Linked DNA regions of Arabidopsis thaliana. The protein of the gene in region 1 interacts with the protein of each later gene in a pairwise test. Each region holds a gene or a part of one and is shown in the gene's direction. Other genes may lie near its edges.

What was found.
Region 2: the proteins of ARR11 (region 1) and HB51 interact in a two-hybrid assay, tested with the Arabidopsis thaliana proteins (one large-scale study listed by BioGRID).
Region 3: the proteins of ARR11 (region 1) and NAC063 interact in a two-hybrid assay, tested with the Arabidopsis thaliana proteins (one large-scale study listed by BioGRID).

Annotation. Positions count from the first base shown.
Region 1 is NC_003070.9:25,373,189-25,384,695, reverse strand, and holds ARR11 (response regulator 11), read left to right. Parts: upstream 1-5,478; 5' UTR 5,479-5,790; coding exon 5,791-5,899; exon of another isoform or gene 5,900-5,980; coding exon 5,981-6,133; exon of another isoform or gene 6,134-6,167; coding exon of another isoform or gene 6,168-6,207; coding exon 6,208-6,597; intron 6,598-6,701; coding exon 6,702-6,778; intron 6,779-6,865; coding exon 6,866-7,702; 3' UTR 7,703-8,017; downstream 8,018-11,507. Other genes in the region: AT1G67700 (multidrug resistance protein), read right to left, coding at 8,886-8,892, 8,984-9,126, 9,243-9,290, 9,415-9,501, 9,600-9,737, 10,129-10,401; AT1G67690 (Zincin-like metalloproteases family protein), read right to left, coding at 10,966-11,076, 11,165-11,245, 11,318-11,422, 11,503-11,507. UniProt on the Arabidopsis thaliana protein: Transcriptional activator that binds specifically to the DNA sequence 5'-[AG]GATT-3'. Functions as a response regulator involved in His-to-Asp phosphorelay signal transduction system.
Region 2 is NC_003076.8:998,515-1,009,471, forward strand, and holds HB51 (homeobox 51), read left to right. Parts: upstream 1-6,267; 5' UTR 6,268-6,470; coding exon 6,471-6,588; intron 6,589-7,140; coding exon 7,141-7,496; coding exon of another isoform or gene 7,497-7,604; exon of another isoform or gene 7,605-7,625; coding exon 7,626-7,859; 3' UTR 7,860-8,117; downstream 8,118-10,957. Other genes in the region: TRFL10 (TRF-like 10), read right to left, coding at 752-937, 1,021-1,093, 1,176-2,092, 2,347-2,433; AT5G03795 (Exostosin family protein), read right to left, coding at 9,040-9,705, 9,784-10,132, 10,847-10,957. UniProt on the Arabidopsis thaliana protein: Putative transcription factor.
Region 3 is NC_003074.8:20,460,372-20,470,850, forward strand, and holds NAC063 (NAC domain containing protein 63), read left to right. Parts: upstream 1-4,723; 5' UTR 4,724-4,843; coding exon 4,844-5,021; intron 5,022-5,119; coding exon 5,120-5,418; intron 5,419-5,503; coding exon 5,504-5,869; 3' UTR 5,870-6,048; downstream 6,049-10,479. Other genes in the region: SAP130a (Cleavage and polyadenylation specificity factor (CPSF) A subunit protein), read left to right, coding at 162-3,176, 3,274-3,765, 3,853-3,990; SAP130b (Cleavage and polyadenylation specificity factor (CPSF) A subunit protein), read right to left, coding at 6,745-6,882, 6,970-7,461, 7,559-10,479.

The DNA of each region.
Region 1 (11,507 bases):
CCAATATTATTTAAAACTTTTAGTATTTATTACTAATTTTGATTTTAAAAAAACCTTTGATATGAAATTTGAGTGATAATGGTATGTTTTTATTTTATTTTAATGGTTTTGGAAATTAAGAGAGAATTTTAAGTATTTTTATAAAACAATATCACTATATTACGCATTTTCACACTTCTATATTGAATTTACCAACATATTTACATATGAGTTTCGGAGTGGAAAGTATTATAATTCTAAATTTTTTATTTAAGTTCTATTATCAACCTCAAAGTAAACAATATCGATCAAAGTTTCGTATATTGCTTGCTACATATTTCTTGTAAGAAACAAGTTTCATAAAGAGATAAAAAGAAAGAAAACATGCAGTACACCATTTATACAAAATAAGACTTTTTCATATATAATTTTTGCACCATTTGAGCTTTCTAGATATTTTGTCTAGTAGTATTATATATATAGTAAAATGAGTTATACATCAATATCAGGTATCTATACCAATCTATTAATAAAGCATTAAAAATAGAAGTTGAAGACAGAATAAAATGGTGAAAATCAAATAACATGAAGTATCGTAGGAGGAGATTTTATATAGACATTCTACTTTATTATATTGTATATTTAAAGGTGTTTGTAGAAACTTAAATATTTTAAGAGACATAATTTTATCAAATTAAGAATAAGAAGAAGGCGAAAGTGTCCGCCAAAAAGATAAGAAGGACGAAGTTAATCTTGATCCTTCTAATTTGTTGGACACCAATCATACATATACATCTTTTTCTTTTCGTAAAATATTTGTTAATTTCTCCTTGTGGGATAAAGTACTTTGTTAGTGGGCATTTTCCATTTAGTTACTTTTCCTAATACTTATTATAATATTAATAATTTTGAGGATCATTTTGAAATTTCTATGCTTGTTTGAATGTATAAAGTTCATTCTCTCCCCTACTTCTCAAAAGTTTCACCTTTTAGCCAATCCATTTTTTAAGTTGAAAACGACTTCAAATTTTTATATAGTCTTCTTGGTTAAACTTTGTTTGAGAAAGAATCAGAGAACACTGAGAGTTGTCTTCAAACCACTTAGATCGAAAAACAAAACAAATTTGATTGCAAGAATTTAGATATACACACCTTTAAATATATATGCTAAATTTGTATATGAATTTAGACCTATGATAAAAAAAATAAAAAATATTTATGAAAATATCATATTTGTTTTCAAATGAAATTTTTAAATGAGAAGTTTGAGTTAATATATTTTCGAAAAGGTCTCATGTGCGGCTTCAATTTTTTTTTTTTTTTTTTTTTTTTTTTTTTTTGGTGTGTGGTAACCAAATGATTATGGAGACTTTTAGAGACAAAAGAATTATAATGTGCCTATCATTGGCTCCATGAAAGTCGTTCCATATATGAACCAAGTCCTCTCCTTCCAAAATAAGCCTTAGCCATTTGCAATCTACGATTAGATTACGTAATAAGTCTTTTTTTTTTGTCAAAACATACTTAGTCGTTAAAGAATTAATAAAATGAAACAGTGAAAGATTTCCATTTATTTTTAACATCGAAAATATGTTTAAGTAGGTACATAAGGTTGAAATGTCGTAAAATATCTTATTGGAGTATACCGGTAGGGTTACTAGGGTAGTAGGGCAAATGGTTCAATGAATCATTGGAGTGTTAGATGGTAGATTAGTTATAATTGCAAAGGCACATTACAGAATTTCTGATGCTTTTATTCGTTACACATTTATTTACTCAGTATATAATAATTTGATAAGTTTCTTCCCAACTTATATTGGGTTTGAGACGTATAGCTTTAATTAGTGCTGGCATTAACTATTTAATCTAATTACATAGTACTTTATTCCATTTTACAAAATTTGTTGTTTTAGAGTTTTCACATACATGAAATAAAAGTAAATGTCTAATTATATATCTTATCGTTTCAATTTAAGATCTTAGTATAGATTTTTTCTTCTCAAATTAGTAAACTTCATTTTTTTCTTGACCTCTGCTACATTATCATCATAGTATTAGCTAGTTAACTTCATTTAGATTTTAAACAGATAAATTTGGAATTTTGTTATGTATCATATGTATTAAAAATAGGAAAGTAGTAATTCTTGTGATAGAAAAATTTGTAATCCACAAATGCATAGACAAAACTCATTTTCATGTATTAATATAGTAATTGTACATAAATAATATATATATACACATATACACCAATAGGCATTGTTGGTGTGTACAGTGTACATAAGTTCATATGTCACGGAGGTGGATGTCACACCCGTTTAATAGGATGCACTAACACACTCATTGGTTTGCAATTATTATACTTTTCTTAATATTACTCAATTACTATAGTATCAAACAATATAAAATCGTGAAATAAAGTACTGAGAAACTTCACTTAAAGGGACGATTAATGTTATTGGTAGTGGTTTTATACTTATACTACCCAATAATTAGAGGGATAATTAAAGCACTAGCATTGATATTTACATGCACATAATTAAAGATTAATGTTCCAAAGCAGCGCGTGACGCCACGAGCCAACAAAATTGCGACATTACACAAATTTATGGATTTACAATTTGACTACAACAAGTGTCAAATGTCGGCAGGTGATTGGGGAAAATGACTCACGAGCCCTATTTTTTATTGTGTGGGTCTAATCCAACCTTAGTGCATCTTTTGTGGCGCATTTATTATAACCTCTCTATGTCTATTCTATATAAACATATATTCCATTAACCTATGGACGAATATATCCACAACACGAGTAGAAACACAAACCCAATGTTTTATCTTGGTCACGTAGAGCTCCTTTATCTTCCCTGAGCGAATACGTCTTCTACGTTTTGTGAAATCCGTAGATTTTCTTTTCGCCGAGGTTAGGATATTTAGTAACATTAATAATTAAGCCATGGCAGTATGAAAGAGTGGGATTCATATCTTAGCACACTTTTGAAAGATGTGAGCCAAATTTTGATGTAGAGAGACAACAAATGAAATTAACGAATTTGCATTTGAAACATATATAGATCGATCCATTGATAAGCTTTAATGATATGTAGAACACATTCTCTAATTCTATGAGATTTGTAATGAAGTGATAACCCATCTTTACGCAAAACACATTGCCGTAACGTCGACAACAAATGAAGAATGGCTTTGTTAAGGTGAGTTAAAAATAATGTTGGCGCATCATATGTTTCTTTAACATTAATAGACAAAAATAAGTAACTCAAGTTACGTTTTGATGAAAGGAAATAAAGTCGTAAGCATGCATCTCTTTGACGATAGATGTTGTGTTGCATGATACCAAACTCAAACATATTGCGACCACAACTCTGAAAAAAAACATTAACTCACTCAAAATTAAAGCAGAATAATTTTTTTGTTTCTTCTCTTTTTTAGATAAAGAGAGACATTTTAATTTTTATGTTAGTCGGAAGATTCCGATTCAAGGAAATTTATATTTACTTTTTTCGACCTATTTTGAAAACAATTTGTACAATCAAAAAGATGTTAGAAAAGTATGCGTAACATTTTTTGTTTTTTTTGGTAAAAAATCAGGGCCGGCTCAAACTTTTTGAAGACCTTGTGCTGATTTATAAAAACTGGCTTTAGTTAATATTGGTTTTTAATTTCTAAAATTTTTGGACCCTAAAACCTTAAAGAAAATTGAAATTTTTTTTGAGGACCCTGTGCTTTTGCTCCTGTAGCACTCCCCTAGAGCCGGCACTGTAAAAAATATACGTAAGATTTTGTGCAATATTCGCAGTTTTTAATCACTGAATTACCATAAATTTGTTAGACATTTTTACATGTTTCTTACAGTATATTAGATAGACTTTGATTCTCATTCTACATCTCAATAATATATAATATATGATATGAAAGTTGGACAGTAATGAAATAGTAATCATGAAAGTGAGACTAGCTATTTAAATGCAGGTCACATGCAAACCTCGTCCCTGATCCCATCAACAGAAACATGGCCAGTGTACTGTGCAAATCCACAAACTCCCAAACAACGACACTGTTTCTAAATCTATAATGCGTTATTCTTTTTTATCATGGCCAAAAAGTTTGTGCAATTAGTTAGCTGTCTTGTACGTATATAATAATAGAAATTAATGAGGAAGTATATATGTTGTGTGTTTTGTCAAGTCTCTACGGGCCACGTCCTTATCCATAAAAAAGCTTTGTGCATGACAAGCTGTGTACCATTTTCCTTTATTCTTTTGTCTTTCTACTTATTTTCTTTCAATAGAATATAAAGGTCAAAACATTTGAAGTCTTTTATAGTCAAAGATCAAACATTGAAAGTCTTTCAGAGTCAAAGATCAAACATTTTAAGCCTTAATTAAGGTTAAACATTACATCGACTTGTTAAGGATTTGATGATTTACGAGCATTATTAAACCGAGTCGAGAAACCTCACTAGTTAAAGAGTTTATTTTGTGTTAGACGTGACGTACATGCTGCATGCATATATGTAATTTAAGTTGTTTGCGGCGAGAAGCTGATTTTTTAAAAATTTTGAGACATAATGTTTTAACTTTTAAGCTTTCTCAAACACATTATGTTCTTGATGTATGAACGATAGTTTTTTAAATCTAATTTAACATTAGGTTATCAGACACACTAATATACATGTAAAACTTTGCATTATATAGGAGCCGTGACTACCCTATGGCAAAAAGGCAAATGCCTAAAGCCAAAAAAAAAGTTTAAATTAAAGGCCAAATTTTTATAAAATAATAAGCTTATCAATTTTGTTATTTTGATAACAAATAATTGTTAAAATGAAACTTTTTTCGTGAAAATTATATTCTTAACTATACCTTTATCTATAGACCATTTTCTTATCTTGAAAACACATCATTTAGTAATATATTTTTTTTGGTAAGAATCATTTAGTAATACATCATAATTAGTAAATATAAATATTTAAAACAAATAACATTATTAGAAAAACATATAAAAACAAAAAGAATAACGTATTATTGATTTTTTTACATTGTAAGTTTTTGATACTAATATTTTTTCCGATTCAGTATTATGATTATTTTTAAAAACTATGATGATAGCCACATTTTATAAACTTGTCCTAGCCCTGCACACATCTAAGCAAGACACTGCATTATATATAGAGTTGCTTGTGTGTGTTTTGTCAATATTTTTACATGATAAAATGATGATGCACTCTGAATACGATCCCATAAATATAGAAGTTTAAATCTAAATACGATCACCATATTTACGTATAAAATACCAAAGAGTGTAGAAGATAATTATTTTAGTTTTATAGAATAACTATAAAAAGGTGATATAATCCACAATATTATCATGTCAATATCTTAAGAACAATTTGAAAAGCTAAATTATTGGAAGAATATGGGATTATGGAGCAGTGAGAGACGTCAACTTACAAATTGAGAGAGAAAAGAGTTTCAACAACTTTTTTTTGGCAGTGAACTTAGACCGAACTAAATTCCTTCTTCAAAAGTAATCCACAAATAAATTAATATTTTATAGCCTCGTTTTCAAATTAAAAACAGAGAGAAATTTGGAAATTCCAGTACGACGGGAGATAAAACCTAACATACGCCATGGTGACCGTTATCTAAACTACGCCAAAATATTTGAAGTGTCGTCGTTTCATAATAAAACGCAAACAAAAACCCACTCCCACTTTCTCCTTTCCAAAAAAAGAACTCTCGCCACTTTCTCTGCTCTTTTTCTTTCTCTCTCTCTTTCTTGTTTTCGCCGGCGATCATGGAGAAAAGCGGCTTCTCTCCCGTCGGTCTAAGGGTTCTTGTCGTAGACGATGATCCAACTTGGCTCAAGATTCTCGAGAAAATGCTCAAGAAGTGTTCTTACGAAGGTCTCTTTCTTCTTCTTCTATCTTATGTTTTCCCCAACAGTTGGATTTACTAAAATATCTCCTTACTTTCCTATGTTGCAGTAACGACCTGTGGATTAGCTAGAGAGGCTTTGAGGTTGCTGAGGGAGCGTAAAGATGGATATGATATCGTGATCAGCGATGTGAACATGCCTGACATGGATGGTTTCAAGCTTCTTGAGCATGTTGGTCTTGAATTAGACCTCCCTGTAATAAGTGAGAAGAAAGATCTTGACTTGTTGTGTAATAAATGAAAAAGGTTATTGATTTTTGTGTGTTTTGCGTTGTAGTGATGTCGGTGGACGGCGAAACAAGCCGAGTGATGAAGGGAGTGCAACACGGAGCTTGTGATTACCTCTTGAAGCCGATAAGAATGAAGGAGTTAAAGATTATATGGCAACATGTTCTGAGAAAGAAGCTTCAAGAAGTGAGAGATATCGAAGGCTGTGGATACGAAGGAGGAGCGGATTGGATCACTCGATACGATGAAGCACATTTTCTTGGAGGTGGTGAAGATGTTTCTTTTGGGAAAAAGAGAAAAGACTTTGACTTTGAGAAGAAGCTTCTTCAAGATGAGAGTGATCCATCATCTTCTTCTTCCAAGAAAGCTAGAGTTGTTTGGTCTTTTGAGCTTCATCATAAGTTTGTCAACGCCGTTAACCAAATCGGATGCGATCACAGTAAGTACGTTGGCGACTTTGGTTTCTTATCATGTCCCCTTGCCTCCCTTTATTATCATGTCTTCATAGAGCCGTGAAATTTTTTCCGGTCTCTTGTTTGGCAGAAGCTGGTCCCAAGAAGATATTGGATCTCATGAATGTTCCATGGCTCACTAGAGAAAATGTTGCAAGCCACCTTCAGGTAAAAACTTTACCTTGTCATCATCATTATTCAGAACAAGTGTTAGATTAAGCTTTTCGTCACTTTTTTTTTGTTCTGTTTTTGTAGAAATATAGACTTTACCTGAGCAGATTAGAGAAAGGAAAGGAGCTCAAGTGTTATTCAGGTGGCGTGAAGAATGCGGATTCATCTCCAAAAGATGTCGAAGTGAATTCAGGCTACCAAAGCCCTGGGAGGAGCAGCTATGTATTCTCTGGAGGAAATTCTCTGATCCAAAAAGCAACAGAGATTGATCCAAAGCCACTTGCTTCAGCTTCTTTGTCTGACCTCAACACCGATGTGATCATGCCTCCGAAAACAAAAAAGACGCGTATAGGATTTGATCCTCCCATTTCCTCCTCTGCGTTTGACTCTCTGCTTCCTTGGAATGATGTTCCAGAGGTCCTTGAATCGAAGCCGGTTCTGTATGAGAATAGCTTTCTCCAGCAACAACCATTGCCAAGTCAAAGTTCCTATGTTGCAAATTCTGCACCATCTCTCATGGAGGAGGAAATGAAGCCTCCTTATGAGACACCAGCAGGAGGCAGTAGTGTGAATGCAGATGAGTTTCTCATGCCACAAGACAAGATCCCTACTGTAACCCTTCAAGATTTGGATCCCTCTGCCATGAAGCTGCAGGAGTTCAACACAGAGGCGATTCTGAGAAGCTTGAACTGGGAACTTCCAGAATCACATCATTCTGTTTCTTTAGACACTGACTTAGACTTGACTTGGCTTCAAGGCGAGCGTTTTCTTGCAAACACCGGACTCCAGTTTCAAGATTACAGTAGTAGCCCATCACTCCTATCTGAGCTCCCAGCCCACCTTAATTGGTATGGAAATGAGCGGCTGCCTGACCCTGACGAGTATTCCTTCATGGTAGACCAAGGTTTATTCATATCTTAACCTTGTTCCAATAACTTCTTTTCGTATATTGGTTGGTGTAATGCAGAAAGATTTTGTGGGTATACCTGAAAATAATCTTGCTTTCCCAAGAACCTTCCATGATCGGATGCATTGTACAATAATCCACGAGTGTCGTAGGCTAATTACACCAAACAGGTTGATGACAGTGATAAGGCCACATGTTTCACACCGTCGCTTAAGATCTTCACTGTCACCTGGAAGGAAATTAGTTTGCATGTCATATCATGAAAAAAAGATCTCTACTACACATTGAATCTAATTGCAAAACTTAGGAATTTTACCTCCTTACTCCAACACATGTGATGTTCTTTTATCTGTTGAGAATCTGTCCCATAACCTTATCATCAAATAATGTGAGAGTTCACAATCTTAGAGCAGATATACAAATGAGTGTTACGGGAAACGTTTTACATCGAAGATATCTAACAGTTGCCACATGTGATGTTCTTTTATCTGTTGAGAATCTGTCCCATAACCTTATCATCAAATAATGTGAGAGTTCACAATCTTAGAGCAGATATACAAATGAGTGTTACGGGAAACGTTTTACATCGAAGATATCTAACAGTTGCCACTTGCCACCAGATCCAAGATGGGAAACTTCAGAGTTTTGAACTATCTAACATCTTTCTATGCAGGCAATGGATTAGTTACCTGACAAAGCTCTAATTTATTCATAACAAACAATTTATGAAGCTACACACACCATATTGCAATGTTCGGACAGTCAGATGTCGCCAATACTGCGCAGAACTAGATTTTTTACCTACTGGAGCAATCAGGGAGATTCTACTAAATCTCTGCAAATGGTCTTGCTCTCACCTTCACGAAGCTTTTGCATATCTTGTTCACAGTTCTAGTTAAGGGTTTCTTCGAAAGATATAGTGGGAAGTTTTCCTATTTTCGACTACTATTGTTTGACCAATGTCTAAGAAAAGTTGAAATTGCAAGTTGTAACCAATGGCTCTTTCTTTCAACAAATCTACAATACACAATAAGTTATATGTTACAAGAGATTTAACAGAAGCTGTTTCTGTGAGAGATGTATAGAGAAAATGTGCACAAAATAGCGGTAGTCTCGTCATATCCAGTGACCTTCTGCAGCCCATACCGAGACGGTTGAGACATCAAAATCAACCAACCAAGTGTCAATTGTTCAGCCTCAGGCCCTGTAAAACGGTTGTATATCATTTTGGTGAAAAACACCAAAATTCTAGTGAAAATGAAAAGAAGAAACATTCAGTACCTGTTTATACTTACTTGGCTTTCTCATCCGAGGTTTCTTCAGTTTTTTCGTCACTCCCCGGGTTCAGCGATGATAGCTTTCCGAATGACTCTTTTGCATCCCCAAAGTAGTCTTTAACTTTGTCGAACACTGTTTTAAGCTGGTCCTGGGTTGGGAGCTGCGATGGTTCAGGACAAAACACAAACGTTTCAGACAAAACATCTATAACAGCATCCTTTTGGTGTCACTGTAGGAAGTTTGAGAGCTGATCTCATGTAGTTAAGTATAGCTCACCTCAATAACATCTGAAGTACTAAGTGCAGCTCTCATGTTTCCGTTTTCCTGAATGTATAATACAGCCATAATAAGTGAAAACGAAACCAGAAAACTTTTCCTACGGTCTCATCAACTACAAAATGAAGCAGAGCTTCCAATAACTGAAGAAAAAGGGTTTTGAGAGCATTACTACAAGTTTGTAGCCATATCGAAACTCGGTGGCTGTACGCAAGACACGATGCTGCTTAATTGCTGTCTTTTGAATCTCTTTCTCATCCTGTTGAAGATAAAAACAATTAGAAATAACATCTAAAGAGACACATATTAATAGTGGAATCAACCACACAAGAATAAGCAGAAGCTTGTGTAATTTACTCTGTAAATAACAGCGGCAATGTTTCTTGCAATGGTGTCTTTGTAGATATACTTCCCCAAGAGGTTATCTTTTGCAGCAACCATGATCTTAGCAGTAGTACCACCAGCTATTATACTCAGAGGATACCAAAGATACACCTGTTCACGTCACAAGAAACACTTTTTACAACAAAAAGTAAAATGCTGAAAAGAACACTCGCATTGATGAAACCAGAACACAATTGCAATCTGATAATTGATCTAAAAGGATCGAATGAAAGAAAGTACATAACTTTGCAAACAAAACCAATCAAGCTAACAATTTTAATTCATGTTATAAACAAACACGTACTAGAACAAAGAGCTGAAATGTTGAAAAATCCAAATTTGATGAAACCAGATGATTTGCAATCTAATAATTGGTCTAGGAGTATCAAATTGAAAAAAGTATATAACTTTGGAAACAGAACCAAAGCAAAGCTAACATGTTTAAGCGTTTAATTATCTCCTAATCCAAGCTAAGTGAAGAAAGAGTGGAAAAGAGACGAACATTGGCCATACGAATGAAGATAACGAATCTTGGGTTTCCATCGTCTTCAATCTTAGGCATAGGAGGAGGTGTACGTTGATACTGACGCGCCGCCATACCTTTCTTTCCCTTAGCCTCCACCACAAAAACCATCCGCCGCTGCTGTACCGCCGTCTCTCGGCATGCCGTTCTTGAGCTAAACAGAGAGTGTCTCGCTAAACCAACCTCTTCGAATCTTCCTGTGTTCTTCAGAGGAAGCCGAGTTAACGCATTCAAAGACATACTCACTTCCATTACTCACCAGAGAAGATTCACTCACCACTAGTTTGTTTAGAAACGAGAGATTATTTGGTTTGGGGAAGATGATGATTTCGTGGATTCGTACCTTATCTACTTGTACCTGCCACGTGTTCAAACCAGTTTAAACCGAACCAGAACCGTACTTCATAAGGTAATCTGAAACTCTTTTCTTTTACGTATGTCTGAAACTACTTACCTTTAAGGCCTGTTACAATCCTATTTCCAAAGTAAACCAAAAAGACAATACTATTCTTGTCTTAATAAGAGAAGAAAACCATAATATTAGAATCTGTCTTGTAAATTGATCGAGACAAGTCCTTATCTTCAACACCGTACATGCTCAATGATGATCACTATGTTATATAACTCTTCGTAATTTGAGATTGCGATGCAGAGAAAGGTAAGAAACTAAGAATGAATGATTACAGTTTCCACCTAAACCGCTAGGTCCTCTCAACACATTAACAAACATCAATAAACGATGTCTCTAACAACCAAAGAAATGTTTATTTTCACCAGCTACCAGATTCACTGGAACCTAATGTTAGGTGCAAAATACTACAAACTATAGTTTGTCCGGCTAGCGATGAAAGCTTGTGTTGATGGTTCCCTTCCAAGAAAATTGGTGAGAAGTTCCATTGGTTCTTTGCCTCCTCCTGGGGCCAACACCTAATAAGAAAGTAGTTGTTACTTGTTTAGTCCTTTTACACTCACACACTACTAAATCAAAGGAAAGACAAACAAATACGCTTCTCACTTTGTCTCTGAACTGCAAGCCGGCATATAGATTCGGATGCCCATCTCCAAATTTTGAAGCAAATATATCAGCAGCATACACCTGTGGAAATAGGTGGATTCTCAGACTAAAGTCATGGAAGGTACGGATCACCACAGTGCAAATCAATCATACCTCACTCCATAAACGACTGTAACATGTTGCTTCAGAGCCAATTACAGCACGTGGGAAACATGAAGCAGGGTTGGTTCCTTCCACCACTGGTAGCCCTATCATTACCTATATATAGAAAGACACTAGTATGAGAAAATTTCTTTGCCGTAAACAGACCAGATTGCTTTGAGAGTTTATGCTTTTACCTTTG
Region 2 (10,957 bases), on another chromosome or scaffold:
CATAAAAAAAATTAAAAAAACATGATCAATTTTTATGTATGTTGTATCCTTCTTTCCTGAGAGAAGACTCTTTTAAAGCTATCCTTCCTGTTTTTGAAAAAAAAAAAAAAAAACATGGTTGGTTTTTGTTCAAATAAACATTTAATTCTTCTTTTCATTCAAAAAAAAAAAATGTATCCATTGCAATTGAAATCAAACTTTTATATTATTAAATTAATAATATCATAGTTTTTAATATAAATGTAGTGGTTAGATTTTTTGAAAAAAAAATTGATAAAACGAAAAGAAAAATTAATGCTTTATATTTGCTACACATAAAAATTCAAAATGTTAGAAGAGTTGAGCAAGTATATTCATCAAATTGTTAAAAGCGAACAAAAATATTTTACAGAACTATATATGTTATTTAGCTAGCTTACCCAACAAAGCACCCGTGGCCTAATGGATAAGGCGTTTGACTTCTAATCACACGATTGTGGGTTCGAGTCCCACCGGGTGTGTTATTTTCCTTTTTTTTCCTCTATTCTGTCAAGGATCCATTTTTCAGATTTTACTTTTTTCTTTTAACACATACAAGTTCGAACTTCGAGCCATATATTATCTATACTGAAAATCTAAAGATGTCGAAGATACACAAAAAGTAGAAGTCAGTTCTTGTAAAGGAGGAACTTTTGTCTATTACACAGATCAACTCCCACATTAGTTCACCAAGTCTGGCTTCATCTCCAAAATAAGTCACACTAACTATTGATTACATAGCAGTAGGGGTTAGTGTGCTGCCTTGTTCGTTTTTGTTCATAATCTTGACCATGCTCCTCCATTTGTCCTTGAGATCAGCTGGAGTACGTGTTTCGTGGAACACCTTCTCTCCCATTTCCAGAATTTTCCTCCATGGCATGTTCTTGTTTGCTTCTGCTGCAAATTTCTCCACTCCCACCTGAACCAACCAACCAACACATATATCAACAACAATTCTTATTCAATTCATGAAAATACAGCTAGTGTAGGTTTGGTATATACCTTTAGCATCTCTTCTTCTTCGTACGTCCAAAGTAGCCTCCTTCTTTGATCCATCTTAAAGAAAGAAATGTCCCTGCAAATCCGTGAGGTAACTTTCTAAATTTAATGTGGAAATGAACTCTTGATGTTCCAGTGAGTGAAGAAAAAGGAACAACCTCACTGTCTTTGACTTAGCCACAACTTTGGTTGTTGCCTGCTGGTTCCTCATTCTCCCTGACGGGGAGGTTACTTGAACCGATGAAGTTACCTGCTCAGTTACATCTTCTCCATTTCGTTCGTTACTTGATCCCTTTGATGAGATGTCACTATCGATAATTTTCAATCCTCTCCTTCTTCGCTTCTCATTCTGCTGGACCTGGTCCTGTTCTTTTGCTGAAAACGATTCTTGCATAGACAAAAACGAAGAAACCTCTCTCTTTTTCCCTGCACCTGTATTCAGGATTCTTGTACCTTGATCTTTAGCTGTTTCATCATCTTCAGCGTCTTGAAATTTTTCTGTAGCTACCTTCTCTGATGCTCCAACTTCGTCAATCACTTTACCAGTACCCACTTTCCCTTGATCCGCATCTGGTTTTGATGAACAGCCATCCTTCTCTCCTTGTAACTCATGATCACTTACAATGTCTGTACTCTGCTCTTGGTTTCCAATTTCATCACCAGATAAGGTTATATCCTCATCCCTGCTTTTCATCTCTTTATCTAGATACTTGCAGACCGCCTTTTCCGCCTCAACGGTCTTTTCTCTCAATGTTTTGGATTTCAGTGCAACAATCTTGAGCCAGCAATAAGGACAAAATGGATTCGAAACATCCTCACTACTACTACTACTACTACTACTAGTACTACCCAAATCAGCATACAAACACTCGCCGTGAAACGAAAGAAGACAGTCAACCCCGCAACAACGAGATACCCGCTCGTCTGAAACTTCACATACAATACAAGCATCCAAGTCCAGCAGCGGCTCTACAGATCCTCCTCTATCAGTAGTCTCACTAGTCCCAAGACAACGACGCTTCTTGTGTGGCACATCTCTTTCATCACATTGTGTGTTTTCATTAGCTTCATCATCCTGTGAAAGGATGACCAGAAATCATTCACAAATACATCAACCGTAACAGTTTCTATTTCGCGAGTTCCAAATTTAAAATTCAACCTCCACAATCACACAGAATCCAAAACAAGCTTTGATTATAACATACGAATCAAAATCAAAACCAAAATCAGTCATGTAGCTGCACCAGGAAATTACAAGCTCTAGTTTTCCGATTCTAAAGGAGACTGTTCCGAGAAGCAAATAGAGACGAAGGGAAGAAATAGGTTTACCAGAAGCGAATCGAGGGATTTGCGCGAAGACCTAACCGGAATCGATTTGGTTCTCATCTTCATCTTCGACAGTTTCTTCTCAATCATCAGTCTCGGTTTAAAATTGGCACTCTCGAATTCAACAATGGGGACGTTATATGAACAGTGAAGAGTGTCTCTTCTCAATTGTGAAGCGTACTGAGGAAGATGGATGAATAAACAAAATAAAAAAGTATTATGTGATAAATTTAGCAAATATAGAAGAAGTCAATTCACCTTTTAATTAATTATACGGATAACCCAAAATTTTATGTATATTGAATCAAAAATATATTTTAACTTTTTTTTATTTATTTAGAATTTTTATATATTTACTGACATTAAAATTTCAACTTTAAACAATAGTGTAATCAATATATAAAATCATAATTCATTAACAGAAAAGTTTTACATTCGTAAATGATTCTTTTTAATTGACTTAAATTCTTGAAAATAAATCACATATTTTTTTGACGCATAAAACATACACATGTATATACTAGAGACTATATGTCGGATGATTCATCATAATAATTATTTACTTTTTTTTAACACATATAAATATTTACTATAATGAGATTAAAATAATAAATATATTTAATTTTTTAAATCATGAAACTACTAAGCTAGTTATTATAGAAAGGAAAAAAAACAGAGAGTTTAGTTGATACGCCATAAAACAGGGTTTCTTTCTTCTACATATGTGTTAGGTCTTCATGAGTCATGACCATTTTAGTTCCACAAGCCTTCAACAATTAAGTTAAAAGAAGATTGTAGCTAACTAAATTTTAAAATATTGTTGACTTTTGTAAGTAATAAACTTGCAATGTATAAGTGGGTTAGTCTTATGGAACTTGTTTACCTTTTTTGTTACTATATATGTCTGGTCAATTTGCATAGCAACAATTAAAATTTGTAAAATGAATGTTATAAATATGGTCTTAAATTAGTGTCTGACTTTAACGGCGGGATTTAATTGTTACGTATTTACGATTTTGAAACTAATAGTGAAAAAGGAGACACTGTACCAACTTTAACCTTCACTGTTATATTCATCTTTAGCCTTCTTCACAATATTTTTACCTTTTCAGTTCTAGAGTTATTTAATGGTGGTGTAATAAATCTTACTATCCCATTTATCTATGTGAGGGTGGTAATTAGTTTAACCCAACAAAACCCATCAAAAAAATAAAAAAGTAAATGTATAATTCACATTATATATTTCATATTCACATTAAGCAATTCTCAGTTATATCGTATATATAGCATAAATACTTGGAATTCAATTGTTATATAATATAAGTTCTTACTTCTAATTCCTTATAAAGTCCCTACATTTTACTATAATGTGACAAGTAAATTTAGCTCCTCCAAGAAGGGGGGACCTTTTTCTTGATTACCGATCTTAGTAACTGATGGATCTAAATGAAATCGTCTTTTTAATTTTATTTTTATTTTTGTCGTCTATATGAAATCGTGTATGTTATATAAAAACTAATGAAATCATTTGGGGAAAGTCTCAATTCTCAAAGAACAATAACAAAGGAATTTAGTTGTGAATTATACCTGTACATGTTGGATTCTCCTCAATATCTGAGTTTTTAGTTCTGGCTCTCCTCTTTTTTTTTTTTTTTTTTTTTTTTTTTTTTCTAATGCATGCATGGAGATGAGAGTGAGACTCTGCTAAAAGTTTTTATTCGGATATTATTTAATTTGTTTGACAGTATTAACAAAAGGCTTTTAACTTTTAAGATTCTGTGAAATCATTCATCATGAACCCAACTAATTACCTTCTGGTTCTTAACATTATCTACTACTCGAAGAGTTAATATATAACCCTATAACTTCATCACTAGCTCTATTCTAATAAAGATGTATACGAAATTATGAATAAATATTACATTATATATTTTCGTATGTGAATGTATAATTAAATACACAAAAAGTTAAAAGGATTAGTGGCGATAGGACAAAACGGATAAGAAAGAAATGGAATTTCAAGCTGAATGATGATTCTAAATGATTTTATGGGTCTTAATTTTAGTTTATTTCGAATACAAATCGGTCTTATTTCTCATTTAATCCAGACAAGGAAAACCATATATATATTGGCGTAACACGTAAACATTTAAAAGTTAAAAACACGTTATTTTTGGTCCATATCGAAGACTTTTTACGTAGGGTCTTAGCTAAAATAGTGAAATTTGCATATTATTTTTTTAAGAAAATAGAGTATGAAATGTTGTTATCAAACGGATCCTTTACAATGAATGCAATCATCGAAAAAAAACCATAAAAATATTCTTAAAAAAATTATACACTATGAAAACTGTGATGTCTCATCTCTTTCAAGGGTTTAGGCTTAAAAGCTTCCCTTTTCTCTTATACACTGTCGTTAGTTTTAAATCTCATTACTTATCATCAATCTGTTCAAACCCTATCTACTTTTAACATAGAAAAAGATTCCTTTCCTTCCCTCTCTACCCTTCTCTCTCCATCTCTTACACTATTTACACATCAACAATTTGTTAAGTAGCAATTGAATATGAGAGAGAGAGATATAGGGAGAGAGATTGTGTGTAGAACTGCAAGTTAATAAAGAATGTGGGGGTAAAGAGTACACAGTAGATGAAGACAATGAGACTTAGTTTTCAAACTTCTTCTTTGCTTTGGCTTTTATTGGTCATATCAGACTCTTTATTTATAGATGATCTACTTAGCTCTCTGTGTTGATTCTTAGCTTTCAAAGGTAGCTTTTGGCCTCACCCTATATACTCTATACAGGTTACTGCACATATACATTGGTATGGACTTGCCACTAGTGCCAAACCTTTTGCACATTAATTTTCACATATATATAAGTAGATTTAGATGGTGTATATATAAGACAAAACAATAACTGAAAATCTTAGGACCAAGAATGAAGGCATAACCAAAGAAGGGGGGAACCACATTGTCAGTTTTTATGGAGTTTTTGGGGGACCATTAGTTTCGTTTCACTCTTTCTCTTTCACTTATTTAAGCTTAACTTTGACAAATACGTACCCCCACCTATATTACTACACGAAATTACAATATATTTATATATAAAATCTCATCAATTTCTTTTCAACTACATTTATGTTTCCATGTTTATAAAATTCAGTCAATTAAGACGGTGGTTTAAATGTTAAAGGCCACAAGTAGATTTATGTGAATGTTAAAAAGTCCCAAGTTTAGAAATTCCGTCAAATATAATTAATCCATGCAGATTTTGATTTACCATTTATTGGTTTACACTAGATTTTCAAAAGGAATATTTGGTGCATTCACACAAGGCTCAAGATTGTTTGTTTTTTCTTCAAAAAATATGATATTATCAAAACCTCTAATTTTGTAGCAAAATCAATTTTATTTAAATCTAAAACATGTATTGTCTTGGTTGGTTCACATCATCTTGCAAACTCTGTAACACTATAAATTGTTACAATTTGTATGTTTATCGAAAAAGCGCAACGATAATATTGACATAAACAAGTAGATTAGGTGTCATGATAGTATATATATTATAAAAAAACTAATACGAAAGAAAAAACAGTTTCCCGAAAATAAATTAAAAATTCCAAGTTTGACCCTTGGACACAACAAAATATATCAACCTATATTAATGTTAGAGAGATGATGGATGATGATTGATGATGTGCAAATGAGACAAAATTATATCACACTTTCCTTTTCAATCTTTAAATTCCAAAACAAAAGGTACTGTTGGGTTGCTCCCTTATTAGGTGAAAAAAACCTCACACAACACAGACAATTTCACTCTGTCTCTTTCACTACACCTCTATATCTCCCTCTAGATACATATCCCTATTTATATATGTATTGTTTCGAACACTGCGTGCTCTCACACTTTGTTACACCTCCAAAAGACAAAGTACATAGAAGAAGAAACTTCTTGTCACGCCTCTCTTACCCCTTCCCTTGTGGTCCAATAAAACCCTAATTTTCTTTTCTTTCTTTTATCCATTGTATTAGATCCTATATCTTTCTTCCTTATAGACCATCTCTCATGTCTTCTTATATATATTAAGATATTCACAAGAACTACAAAAGAAAGAAAGGAGATGGAGTGGTCAACAACGAGCAACGTAGAAAACGTGAGAGTAGCTTTCATGCCACCGCCATGGCCGGAGTCTAGTTCCTTTAACTCGCTCCACAGCTTCAACTTTGATCCTTACGCAGGTATATTCACACACCATCGTACCAAGTCTGCATATGTTACATGCTTTCGTTTTTTTTACTTTTAGATGTGTTTAATTCCATATTTGACGAATTCATGAACTTTAAAACCTTATTTATCCCACTTGCAAATGTTCTCAAGAAGTTTTTTTTTTTCTGTGAATGATGTAAAGAATTTCAAATATGACGTCCCTAAACTTCATTCCAAATGTCAACTAAAACGTTACTTTTCTGATGAGAAGCTAAGATTTTCTTATCTTCAGTCTACAATATCTATAAATAAAGTTTCTTACTTTTTTCTTGGGATCCTACAAAAACAATTTCTTGGGATCCAAATGCAAAAAGGTAAAACGTCACTTTTGAAAAGTTGAGATTCGTTTATGGTATAGTTCACTCTAAGAAAAATGGTTGCGGACATAATTTTATTCTTCTTATACTTTTGGAAGTTTTTTTTTTTTTTTTTTTTTTTTCGTATAATGATTATATTGTTGCGCTTCTATGTTTAAATATTTCCTTTTATCCTTTCGGGGCGTTTGCTAAAATGTTTAACAGCAGGAAATTCATATACGCCTGGCGATACACAAACCGGACCGGTTATCTCTGTACCGGAATCAGAAAAGATCATGAATGCGTACCGATTTCCGAACAACAACAATGAGATGATAAAAAAGAAGAGACTAACGAGTGGACAATTAGCTTCACTTGAGCGAAGTTTTCAAGAAGAGATCAAATTAGATTCAGACAGGAAGGTGAAGCTGTCGAGAGAGCTCGGTCTGCAGCCACGTCAGATAGCAGTTTGGTTCCAAAACCGCCGTGCACGGTGGAAGGCGAAGCAGCTTGAGCAGTTGTACGACTCGCTTAGACAAGAGTACGACGTCGTTTCTAGGGAGAAACAAATGTTACACGATGAGGTTTGTGTATTATATTGCACAAAATTAAAATCATGGGATCTAATTACATATTATCGTTTTCTTAATTTATCCCTTAAAGTCTTGATTCTATCAGATTGCCCCCCTTAAAAAATTGGATTGGTGGTGCAGGTGAAGAAGCTGAGAGCTTTACTAAGAGACCAGGGTTTGATCAAGAAGCAAATCTCTGCCGGGACCATCAAAGTTTCCGGTGAGGAAGACACGGTGGAGATTTCATCGGTGGTGGTAGCTCATCCAAGAACGGAGAATATGAACGCAAATCAAATCACCGGAGGGAATCAAGTTTACGGTCAATACAACAATCCGATGCTGGTTGCTTCCTCTGGCTGGCCGTCATACCCCTGATAGATGTTGCTGATCTCAGAGAGAGGGAAAGAGAATGAGAGAACGAGAGAAAGAGAGAGAGAGAGATTGTGTCAAATAGAGCTTTAGACTAGGACTTTAGTAGTGTTATAGACTAAGACAAGCTTTCTCTCATTGTACGATCTTAAAACATAAATGGCACGTTCTTGGATGCGAGATTGAGTCTGAAAATTGTTGAGTTGGTTTTGTTGAACAACTATACTATGAACACTCAGAATTGGCGAATGTCCGAAACAAAACTAGCTATAAACCAAAATAATGACGAGAGTAAACGAGATTGTACAAATCTTGACACTGATGCTCAGCATTTTCCGCTTCCCTTCACCGAACTTGAGACCTCTTGACGCAAAAAAAAGCTGCTTAGGCTTTGTGTGTGTGTGTGTGTGTGTGTGTGTTGTAGCTTGGTAAAAAGCTAATCTTTATATGTACATGACTGTCTCCAGGTAAGCTTTGATTGAAGAAGGCTTTAGTTGTTAAATATTTAAGAACTTTACATTTCGAATCAGAGATCATAAAAATTGTAACCTTGACAGTATTCCAATAACTGTCTCATATTGATAAAACATCAGACGCAAAAGCCATAAAGTGATCAGAAGTAGTACGAAGCTGCCACTCCATTGTTTATATTTGGAACCGTCGTTGCTAGTTTGTTTGGGCCTAGTCAGGAGTTATTTTGGGCCTAACTAAGAGTCAGTGAATCTGAGCTTAAAGTTTGGTAAGATGTGTAACTTGTAATGGGCCAATCAAATTTTGAACCAATTTTAGTATTTTACAAACCAACTTCGAATAGCTGTCTTTAAACTGAAATATACTTGATCCTAAACATTGAACACATGTATAAGTAATAACTAAAATAATTCAATTGAAATTAATTAATTAACAGAGTATTAGTATATGAACACCAAAAAGTCGCCTAATTATATCGTCACAGTATTTCAGTGCACAAGCTATTTTTCTTCTTCGAATGTTCCTTGACGCCTGATTATTTGTAAACTTTTAAGTTAACATATTAAAATATGCAAATATAACTATTATTTGTTTATTACAAATTAATGAAGAAAAACGCCCAATTATAATTTTACACACACACACAAACAATCCCGGGACTTTTCAATTATTTTTCGTTACACACGCCAAACAAACAAAAAAAATCTGACAAAACTTAGACTTCACGAATCTTCACATTCAATCTCCTCACCCAAATCGAATGAAGAATCATATGAAACACATCAAACCTCTTAGCCGGAGAATTCACCTCAAAATGTCTCCTTACCTTCAACACTCTTCTGTACATCCTTAAGTACTGTCTCGGCGATATAGATGTCAATATCGTTTTCAAATTCGGTATGTCTTCCACTGAAACGATCACCGAGAACGATCTCCAGTTCAGTACATCGCTGAACGGAGGAACATATCCTGAGTTTATCAAAACCGGGACGCAACCCGAGTAGAGTGCCTCCACGATCCTCGGGCTCGCAACCTCATAACCGCTAGGACAAATGCAGAACTTGCTGTTCCGCATCATGTCAGAATAAGACGTTCCTCTAGGGAGATACTTGTGGACTCTAATGTCATTATCTTTGTTCTCCCAATGCTGGAGCAAGACTGGCCTTACCGGTCCGTGTACACCCCCTGCAAAGAAGGCGAGGATGGGACGGCTGGAAGGTGACGGTCCACCGACCAATCCAGTTAAGGATCCCGTCCTTAGATTGATCTCCGGTATCGACACATCTTTTCTTGGTTTGAATCTCTCTGACGTGTTGGCATTGCACAAAGCTCTAATCGAATTATGTCCTAGATGTGGATGAGAGAAGCTTGCCTCAGGACCCTATACCAAAAAATTTCAAGATTATAACGATAACTAGCTAACCAGAAGATATAAGCCAAATATATTGTTATAGCGTACCCAATCGTGACAAGAAAGTATGAAATGATCGGCTCCGATGCTGCGGTTCCAATATGGGTATTTATCACCCACAAGATTGATGTAATCCTTGACTGTATTTCGGATGGGGCTGAAATCGCGGGAATTTCGTTCATACACGTATCTTACCATCTTGACGACACTAAATGGTAGATAAAAAACATGAGCCTTGTCGGGATTATTGGTCCGAAAACGTGTATCGGTTTCTATCTCATAGATGAAACTTCCTTCCATAGAGTAGATGCTTTTGCATGGACCGTCATGGAACAACGGTGGCTCGCCTTCTTTGTATACATATATCTTGAATTGTTTCTCCATCTCCAAGTAACTCCTAAACATTTCAATACATAAACAAAACATTGTAACCACATCATGGTAGTGTTAGCAAATCGTCAAAAGAAAATCTGTTTCACTCTCTACTCTAGACCACATGAAAACATTTTTGTGCACATGCTCGAATGTCTTGTCTAAGTTAATATGGTTTTCAAGATCAATCAACAAGTTACGCTATCATTGGTTACCTTATTTTGCTAAACCATGTAAGATGGGCCAATAATAATATTTTTGATTTTAGAAATTTAGCCCTCCAAAAAAATAAGGTATGTGATTCCTTGCTCTGCTTACGCTACGCATATAAGATGGGACACCACAAATCTATTGCATTTACTAATTTAATGGAAACAAACTACTACTAGTATTTAGCAAGAAATTAAATATAAAAACCTACTAAAAACGTAACTCAAATTTAATTGAAACTTCCTGGCCAGGTTTCCCCATCAATTTAGTAAAAAGTAAATCCAGTTCCAAGCCATAATTATGATTCACACTGCCAACCTGTATGACTTCAATTTAATTCAAATAAATTGATAGTTTCCAACCTGTTTGACTTTAATTTAATTCAAATACATTTTTGACGAACCAATAAATTCACAGTTCCAAACCGTGTAACTTAAATTTAATTCAGATACATTCTTAGCGAATCCAAATTGCAGTAACTTCAGAATAATAAATATAGAAAGTAAACATAATTATTCATTTCACTTACCGATGAAAGACCTTAGCGTTCCAATACATAGGACCAAGAGGAACATAGTCCGGGTCGTCCACGGGATCATCCATCGAAGCGGCTTTAATGGAGGCTCGAGCTTTTTGTAGC
Region 3 (10,479 bases), on another chromosome or scaffold:
GCGGTAATACTTAGGGTTTATTCACCATAATCTGTCAAATCCAAAGTTGAAATATGCTCTAGGAGTTCACCTAAACTCGGACGCCCTGCGAAAAACGTAAATTGAAGGCTAAACTCTAAACCCTAGCCCTTGCTGGTGGTTGTAGCTTGCTAGTTTGAGAGATGTATCTGTACAGTCTTACTCTGCAGCAGGCGACGGGAATCGTCTGCGCAATCAACGGGAACTTTTCCGGCGGCAAGACACAGGAGATTGCGGTAGCTCGTGGCAAGATTTTGGATCTTCTCCGTCCCGACGAGAACGGTAAGATCCAGACGATACACTCTGTAGAAGTATTTGGTGCAATTAGATCCCTAGCTCAGTTTAGGTTGACTGGTGCGCAGAAGGATTATATCGTAGTAGGCTCAGATTCGGGTAGAATTGTTATACTTGAGTACAACAAGGAGAAAAATGTGTTCGATAAAGTTCACCAGGAGACTTTTGGCAAGTCTGGTTGCAGAAGAATTGTGCCAGGCCAGTACGTGGCTGTTGATCCCAAAGGAAGAGCTGTTATGATTGGAGCTTGTGAGAAGCAGAAATTGGTTTATGTTTTGAACAGAGATACCACTGCTAGGTTAACTATTTCTTCTCCCTTGGAGGCTCACAAGTCTCATACCATTTGCTATTCTCTCTGCGGTGTGGACTGCGGTTTCGATAACCCGATTTTTGCAGCCATTGAGCTTGATTACTCCGAGGCAGATCAGGATCCTACTGGCCAAGCCGCTAGTGAGGCTCAGAAGCATTTGACTTTCTATGAGCTCGATTTGGGGCTCAACCATGTCTCTAGAAAGTGGTCTAACCCTGTTGACAATGGTGCCAATATGCTTGTTACTGTTCCTGGAGGAGCTGATGGCCCGAGTGGAGTTTTGGTTTGCGCCGAGAATTTTGTTATTTACATGAATCAGGGTCATCCAGACGTGAGGGCTGTGATTCCTAGACGAACTGATTTGCCTGCTGAACGGGGAGTTTTGGTTGTTTCTGCCGCCGTGCACAAGCAGAAGACAATGTTCTTCTTTTTAATCCAGACTGAGTATGGCGACGTTTTTAAGGTCACCTTGGATCACAATGGCGATCATGTCTCCGAGTTGAAGGTTAAATACTTCGACACCATTCCCGTCGCATCCTCTATATGTGTGTTGAAGCTGGGATTCCTCTTCTCTGCTTCGGAATTTGGAAACCATGGTTTGTATCAGTTTCAGGCCATAGGAGAGGAACCTGATGTAGAGTCTTCCTCCTCTAATCTGATGGAAACCGAAGAAGGTTTTCAGCCCGTCTTTTTTCAGCCTAGACGACTTAAGAATCTTGTTAGGATTGACCAAGTCGAGAGTCTGATGCCGCTCATGGACATGAAAGTCCTAAACATTTTTGAGGAAGAAACCCCTCAAATCTTTTCACTTTGCGGCCGGGGTCCACGATCCTCTCTAAGGATACTGAGACCTGGTTTGGCCATCACTGAGATGGCTGTCTCTCAGCTTCCAGGTCAGCCAAGTGCTGTGTGGACGGTGAAAAAGAATGTGAGCGATGAGTTTGATGCATACATCGTTGTCTCTTTTACCAATGCTACTCTTGTTCTTTCGATTGGTGAACAAGTTGAAGAAGTTAATGACAGTGGGTTTCTTGATACTACCCCATCCCTGGCTGTCTCTCTGATCGGCGATGATTCTCTCATGCAAGTCCATCCCAATGGTATCCGCCACATAAGGGAAGATGGACGCATTAACGAATGGAGAACTCCTGGCAAGAGGTCAATTGTTAAAGTTGGGTATAATCGGCTTCAAGTGGTCATTGCATTGAGTGGGGGAGAGCTTATATACTTTGAGGCAGATATGACTGGCCAGCTGATGGAGGTGGAGAAGCATGAAATGTCTGGTGATGTGGCTTGCCTGGACATTGCCCCTGTTCCTGAAGGAAGAAAAAGGTCTCGCTTTCTTGCTGTGGGATCTTATGATAATACTGTGCGCATTCTATCTCTGGATCCTGACGACTGTCTGCAGATTCTCAGCGTGCAAAGTGTCTCTTCAGCTCCGGAGTCTCTGCTATTCCTCGAAGTTCAGGCATCGATTGGTGGAGATGATGGTGCTGATCACCCGGCAAATCTCTTCCTCAATTCTGGGCTGCAGAATGGTGTTCTTTTCAGAACTGTGGTGGACATGGTGACTGGTCAGCTTTCGGATTCTCGCTCCCGGTTCTTGGGGCTGAAGCCTCCCAAGCTATTCTCCATTTCTGTGAGAGGCCGGTCTGCAATGCTGTGTTTGTCTAGCCGACCTTGGCTTGGTTATATTCACCGAGGACACTTCCATTTGACGCCTCTGTCTTACGAGACTCTGGAATTTGCTGCCCCCTTTTCATCTGATCAGTGCGCTGAAGGTGTTGTCTCTGTCGCTGGGGATGCTCTGAGAATTTTTATGATTGATCGTCTTGGTGAAACATTCAACGAAACAGTGGTCCCTCTGAGGTACACGCCTAGAAAGTTTGTTCTCCATCCCAAGCGGAAGTTGTTGGTTATTATCGAGAGTGACCAGGGAGCATTCACCGCAGAAGAGCGTGAAGCTGCAAGAAAGGAGTGCTTCGAGGCTGGTGGAGTGGGAGAAAATGGCAATGGCAATGCAGATCAGATGGAGAATGGTGCGGATGATGAAGATAAGGAAGACCCGCTTTCTGATGAGCAGTACGGTTATCCAAAAGCAGAGTCTGAAAAGTGGGTCTCTTGCATCAGAGTTCTTGATCCCAAGACAGCTACGACAACTTGTCTCCTGGAACTTCAGGACAACGAAGCTGCATACAGTGTCTGTACGGTGAATTTCCATGATAAAGAGTATGGTACACTGTTGGCTGTTGGTACGGTCAAAGGGATGCAGTTCTGGCCCAAGAAGAATCTAGTGGCTGGGTTCATACATATTTATAGGTTTGTGGAGGATGGGAAATCTCTTGAGCTTCTTCATAAGACGCAAGTAGAAGGTGTTCCTCTTGCTCTGTGCCAGTTCCAAGGAAGACTGCTGGCAGGGATCGGACCTGTCCTCAGATTGTATGATTTGGGGAAAAAGAGACTGCTTAGGAAATGTGAAAACAAGCTCTTTCCAAACACCATTATCTCTATCCAAACTTACCGTGACCGTATATACGTTGGTGACATTCAGGAGGTGAGTGGTAGATCCTTTTTCCTATATATTTTACTTACTACTGTGTGCTTTGTTTTATAGAAATATCTCATGTAGCCTTTTCATTATCGTTTTGCAGTCTTTCCATTACTGCAAGTACAGGCGCGACGAGAATCAGCTGTACATATTTGCGGATGACTGCGTGCCGAGGTGGCTGACAGCATCGCACCATGTGGATTTCGATACCATGGCAGGTGCAGATAAGTTTGGGAATGTGTATTTTGTGCGGTTGCCTCAGGATCTGTCGGAGGAGATAGAAGAAGACCCGACTGGCGGGAAGATCAAGTGGGAGCAAGGAAAGCTGAATGGAGCACCGAACAAAGTGGATGAGATAGTACAGTTCCATGTTGGGGACGTTGTGACGTGCTTGCAGAAAGCTTCGATGATCCCAGGTGGATCGGAATCGATAATGTATGGAACAGTGATGGGTAGCATAGGGGCATTACATGCTTTCACATCCCGTGATGATGTGGATTTCTTCTCTCATCTGGAGATGCACATGAGGCAGGAGTATCCTCCTCTCTGCGGGAGAGACCACATGGCTTACAGATCTGCATATTTTCCGGTCAAGGTAATAAACCAAAACCCATTTGCTTTTCCTCCAAATCAAAAGAAGTCCCTTGATTTTGAATTTGACACTTTTTGCATCTTGTAACAGGACGTGATAGATGGAGATCTGTGTGAGCAGTTCCCGACACTCCCAATGGACTTGCAGAGGAAAATAGCAGACGAGCTGGATAGAACACCTGCGGAGATTCTGAAGAAGCTCGAAGACGCAAGGAACAAGATCATTTGATAACACACGAAAAGAGAGAGAGAGAGTCATTGTTTTGTTGAAGGACAAAGTAGAGAGTAGAGAAGAAAGAGGTTATAATAGATTTTGTAAAGCTCTTCAATGGTTTGTTAAACAAAACCCCGCTCTTGTGAAAACTGATGAATTAATTGCAAGTTTACTTTTGAATCTACAACAGCATGAAACAGTTGCACCGGTAAGGTTTCTTCCATATTCAGGATTCCTAGTAGCTATGGTAGTTCTTGATTCGTTCATGAGAAGCATTGAGAATTGTGAAGCAGCAGACAAGTGGGAGCCTCGCCTGTCTCAACAAAAGATCAGGAACTGCAGACGAAGAGATCTGAGTTAATTCAGAGGCTCTTAACACCAGCCATTCTCGTTGAGAGCAAAAACAAAGATTGAGGATGCAGGTGAGCTAAATGAATCTTCTGCAACATCAGACTTAAAAAGTACCTGGTAAGATACAAAAACAAAGAATTATTTCACATTTTCTGTAATCAACATTTATCTCTTTGTTAACTTTGTTAGCTAAACATGAAACTTTTCCTTTTCCAAATCTCAATCACAAATTGATTTTCAACAAATCCGATATTATCTGAATCCCATATTATCTCAAATTCGATAAATTTTATAAATCATTATATACACCGTCTTATTACATTCTTATAAATAAGAGACAATATAACTAACTAAACTAACTATATCTCTTACGAAACATACTTTTCTTTTTGTCAAAGCTCCAAAGTTACTTGATGACGATGCCTGGAAGAAACAAGCGCAAAGAAAGATCCTGGCCGGAACCGCAAACGCAACCACAGTCAGAGATTCCTTCTTGTCTTCTTTGGCAGCTGTTAACATGTCTCCTCCGTCGACGATAGCTTACGTATTACCGCCAGGTTTTAAGTTTGTGCCAAACGATGAAGAAGTCATCCATTGTTACTTGAAACCTTACTCGGACGGCAACACGAACGTATTGCTCCATGTTCCTATTCATCTCGTCAATATCTACGAGTCGAATCCACAAACACTTTCAGGTTAACTTGTCTCCGTCCATATGTATTGTTTACTTAGTTGAATTCTTTAGTTTATTAAGTTATTAACATATATCTATATATATATATTTTTGAAACAGAGGAATTCCAGAAGGGTAACGATAAAGAATGGTTTATTATAACGGAGAGGAACAAAGTTGATCAAGGTTTAAGCCAAACAAAGAGAGTTGGTTATGGTGCGAAAAGGCAGAAACGTGTCGACACTAACGGAGGATATTGGCACGCAACAGTGGCTGCCCAAAAGATCAACGCTGGAGATGGTGTCGTTCGCAACAAAAGGCCACTGGCATACTACGTTGGGAAACCATCAGAAGGCGTCAAAACTGATTGGTTAATGCAAGAATACTCTCTTGATCACTCTTCTCACAACAACGACAAGGTAAGAAGTGTTTCTTGGTTCCCAAGTTATTTAGGTTTTCAAGTTTTGGATTCTGTTTTGAGTCTTGTTTTTGTTGTGCGTCTAGGATTACACTTTGTGCAAGATCTATCTTACTCCACAAGCAACAAAGATGAATAAAGAAGTGGGAGAAGAGAAGAAGAAGCAGAAGAAAGGAGAAGCCGTTGTTTCAGTTGCACCTGTGGAAGCATTGGAAGAGCAGCTGCCTTGTAATGTCGAGTATCATCAACCGCTAGCACCGCTAGATTCTTGCCAACCGCAGCCTCATGATTTGGCGTATCAACAGCAGCAGTTTTGTCCAGGCCCACTGGATTCTTATCAACCGCAGCCTCATGATATGGAGAATCAGCAACCGCATAATGAGAAGCTGAAGAAAGAAGAAGACGTTGAGCAGCTGGATTTGCATCAACCAGACCAAGGAAAAGGATGCTAATTGATCTCTTTCCTCTATCGGCAATGTTCTCCAAAACCAGAGATAATTCTCCCTGTCTTTATTGCTTTTGATGCCTTGATATAAAACATTTATACTCAATTTGTCCAACATTTTCTTAGCGTCTTAGACTTATAAACTAACACATACAGATATAGATATAAAACACCGGTGTATTCCAGTTTCAGATTACCCAAATATAAAAAATTTGTGTTTTGATTTGTGGGTGGGTTAAAGATTTTCGTTATATAATACATTAGATCTTAAAACCAACAAATAAGTTTCTTCAAAGCCTAACTAAATATACTCTAAACAAAGTTGTAGATTTAAAGGTAAATTTGGACTTTGTTACATCAGTTTTCACAAGAGCGGGGTTTTGTTTAACAAACCATTGAAGAGCTTTACAAAATCTATTATAACCTCTTTCTTCTCTACTCTCTACTTTGTCCTTCAACAAAACATTTAGCTCACCTGCATCCTCAATCTTTGTTTTTGCTCTCAACGAGAATGGCTGGTGTTAAGAGCCTCTGAATTAACTCAGATCTCTTCGTCTGCAGTTCCTGATCTTTTGTTGAGACAGGCGAGGCTCCCACTTGTCTGCTGCTTCACAATTCTCAATGCTTCTCATGAACGAATCAAGAACTACCATAGCTACTAGGAATCCTGAATATGGAAGAAACCTTACCGGTGCAACTGTTTCATGCTGTTGTAGATTCAAAAGTAAACTTGCAATTAATTCATCAGTTTTCACAAGAGCGGGGTTTTGTTTAACAAACCATTGAAGAGCTTTACAAAATCTATTATAACCTCTTTCTTCTCTACTCTCTACTTTGTCCTTCAACAAAACAATGACTCTCTCTCTCTCTTTTCGTGTGTTATCAAATGATCTTGTTCCTTGCGTCTTCGAGCTTCTTCAGAATCTCCGCAGGTGTTCTATCCAGCTCGTCTGCTATTTTCCTCTGCAAGTCCATTGGGAGTGTCGGGAACTGCTCACACAGATCTCCATCTATCACGTCCTGTTACAAGATGCAAAAAGTGTCAAATTCAAAATCAAGGGACTTCTTTTGATTTGGAGGAAAAGCAAATGGGTTTTGGTTTATTACCTTGACCGGAAAATATGCAGATCTGTAAGCCATGTGGTCTCTCCCGCAGAGAGGAGGATACTCCTGCCTCATGTGCATCTCCAGATGAGAGAAGAAATCCACATCATCACGGGATGTGAAAGCATGTAATGCCCCTATGCTACCCATCACTGTTCCATACATTATCGATTCCGATCCACCTGGGATCATCGAAGCTTTCTGCAAGCACGTCACAACGTCCCCAACATGGAACTGTACTATCTCATCCACTTTGTTCGGTGCTCCATTCAGCTTTCCTTGCTCCCACTTGATCTTCCCGCCAGTCGGGTCTTCTTCTATCTCCTCCGACAGATCCTGAGGCAACCGCACAAAATACACATTCCCAAACTTATCTGCACCTGCCATGGTATCGAAATCCACATGGTGCGATGCTGTCAGCCACCTCGGCACGCAGTCATCCGCAAATATGTACAGCTGATTCTCGTCGCGCCTGTACTTGCAGTAATGGAAAGACTGCAAAACGATAATGAAAAGGCTACATGAGATATTTCTATAAAACAAAGCACACAGTAGTAAGTAAAATATATAGGAAAAAGGATCTACCACTCACCTCCTGAATGTCACCAACGTATATACGGTCACGGTAAGTTTGGATAGAGATAATGGTGTTTGGAAAGAGCTTGTTTTCACATTTCCTAAGCAGTCTCTTTTTCCCCAAATCATACAATCTGAGGACAGGTCCGATCCCTGCCAGCAGTCTTCCTTGGAACTGGCACAGAGCAAGAGGAACACCTTCTACTTGCGTCTTATGAAGAAGCTCAAGAGATTTCCCATCCTCCACAAACCTATAAATATGTATGAACCCAGCCACTAGATTCTTCTTGGGCCAGAACTGCATCCCTTTGACCGTACCAACAGCCAACAGTGTACCATACTCTTTATCATGGAAATTCACCGTACAGACACTGTATGCAGCTTCGTTGTCCTGAAGTTCCAGGAGACAAGTTGTCGTAGCTGTCTTGGGATCAAGAACTCTGATGCAAGAGACCCACTTTTCAGACTCTGCTTTTGGATAACCGTACTGCTCATCAGAAAGCGGGTCTTCCTTATCTTCATCATCCGCACCATTCTCCATCTGATCTGCATTGCCATTGCCATTTTCTCCCACTCCACCAGCCTCGAAGCACTCCTTTCTTGCAGCTTCACGCTCTTCTGCGGTGAATGCTCCCTGGTCACTCTCGATAATAACCAACAACTTCCGCTTGGGATGGAGAACAAACTTTCTAGGCGTGTACCTCAGAGGGACCACTGTTTCGTTGAATGTTTCACCAAGACGATCAATCATAAAAATTCTCAGAGCATCCCCAGCGACAGAGACAACACCTTCAGCGCACTGATCAGATGAAAAGGGGGCAGCAAATTCCAGAGTCTCGTAAGACAGAGGCGTCAAATGGAAGTGTCCCCGGTGAATATAACCAAGCCAAGGTCGGCTAGACAAACACAGCATTGCAGACCGGCCTCTCACAGAAATGGAGAATAGCTTGGGAGGCTTCAGCCCCAAGAACCGGGAGCGAGAATCCGAAAGCTGACCAGTCACCATGTCCACCACAGTTCTGAAAAGAACACCATTCTGCAGCCCAGAATTGAGGAAGAGATTTGCCGGGTGATCAGCACCATCATCTCCACCAATCGATGCCTGAACTTCGAGGAATAGCAGAGACTCCGGAGCTGAAGAGACACTTTGCACGCTGAGAATCTGCAGACAGTCGTCAGGATCCAGAGATAGAATGCGCACAGTATTATCATAAGATCCCACAGCAAGAAAGCGAGACCTTTTTCTTCCTTCAGGAACAGGGGCAATGTCCAGGCAAGCCACATCACCAGACATTTCATGCTTCTCCACCTCCATCAGCTGGCCAGTCATATCTGCCTCAAAGTATATAAGCTCTCCCCCGCTCAATGCAATGACCACTTGAAGCCGATTATACCCAACTTTAACAATTGACCTCTTGCCAGGAGTTCTCCATTCGTTAATGCGTCCATCTTCCCTTATGTGGCGGATACCATTGGGATGGACTTGCATGAGAGAATCATCGCCGATCAGAGAGACAGCCAGGGATGGGGTAGTATCAAGAAACCCACTGTCATTAACTTCTTCAACTTGTTCACCAATCGAAAGAACAAGAGTAGCATTGGTAAAAGAGACAACGATGTATGCATCAAACTCATCGCTCACATTCTTTTTCACCGTCCACACAGCACTTGGCTGACCTGGAAGCTGAGAGACAGCCATCTCAGTGATGGCCAAACCAGGTCTCAGTATCCTTAGAGAGGATCGTGGACCCCGGCCGCAAAGTGAAAAGATTTGAGGGGTTTCTTCCTCAAAAATGTTTAGGACTTTCATGTCCATGAGCGGCATCAGACTCTCGACTTGGTCAATCCTAACAAGATTCTTAAGTCGTCTAGGCTGAAAAAAGACGGGCTGAAAACCTTCTTCGGTTTCCATCAGATTAGAGGAGGAAGACTCTACATCAGGTTCCTCTCCTATGGCCTGAAACTGATACAAACCATGGTTTCCAAATTCCGAAGCAGAGAAGAGGAATCCCAGCTTCAACACACATATAGAGGATGCGACGGGAATGGTGTCGAAGTATTTAACCTTCAACTCGGAGACATGATCGCCATTGTGATCCAAGGTGACCTTAAAAACGTCGCCATACTCAGTCTGGATTAAAAAGAAGAACATTGTCTTCTGCTTGTGCACGGCGGCAGAAACAACCAAAACTCCCCGTTCAGCAGGCAAATCAGTTCGTCTAGGAATCACAGCCCTCACGTCTGGATGACCCTGATTCATGTAAATAACAAAATTCTCGGCGCAAACCAAAACTCCACTCGGGCCATCAGCTCCTCCAGGAACAGTAACAAGCATATTGGCACCATTGTCAACAGGGTTAGACCACTTTCTAGAGACATGGTTGAGCCCCAAATCGAGCTCATAGAAAGTCAAATGCTTCTGAGCCTCACTAGCGGCTTGGCCAGTAGGATCCTGATCTGCCTCGGAGTAATCAAGCTCAATGGCTGCAAAAATCGGGTTATCGAAACCGCAGTCCACACCGCAGAGAGAATAGCAAATGGTATGAGACTTGTGAGCCTCCAAGGGAGAAGAAATAGTTAACCTAGCAGTGGTATCTCTGTTCAAAACATAAACCAATTTCTGCTTCTCACAAGCTCCAATCATAACAGCTCTTCCTTTGGGATCAACAGCCACGTACTGGCCTGGCACAATTCTTCTGCAACCAGACTTGCCAAAAGTCTCCTGGTGAACTTTATCGAACACATTCTTCTCCTTGTTGTACTCAAGTATAACAATCCTACCCGAATCTGAGCCTACTACGATATAATCCTTCTGCGCACCAGTCAACCTAAACTGAGCTAGGGATCTAATTGCACCAAATACTTCTACAGAGTGTATCGTCTGGATCTTACCGTTCTCGTCGGGACGGAGAAGATCCAAAATCTTGCCACGAGCTA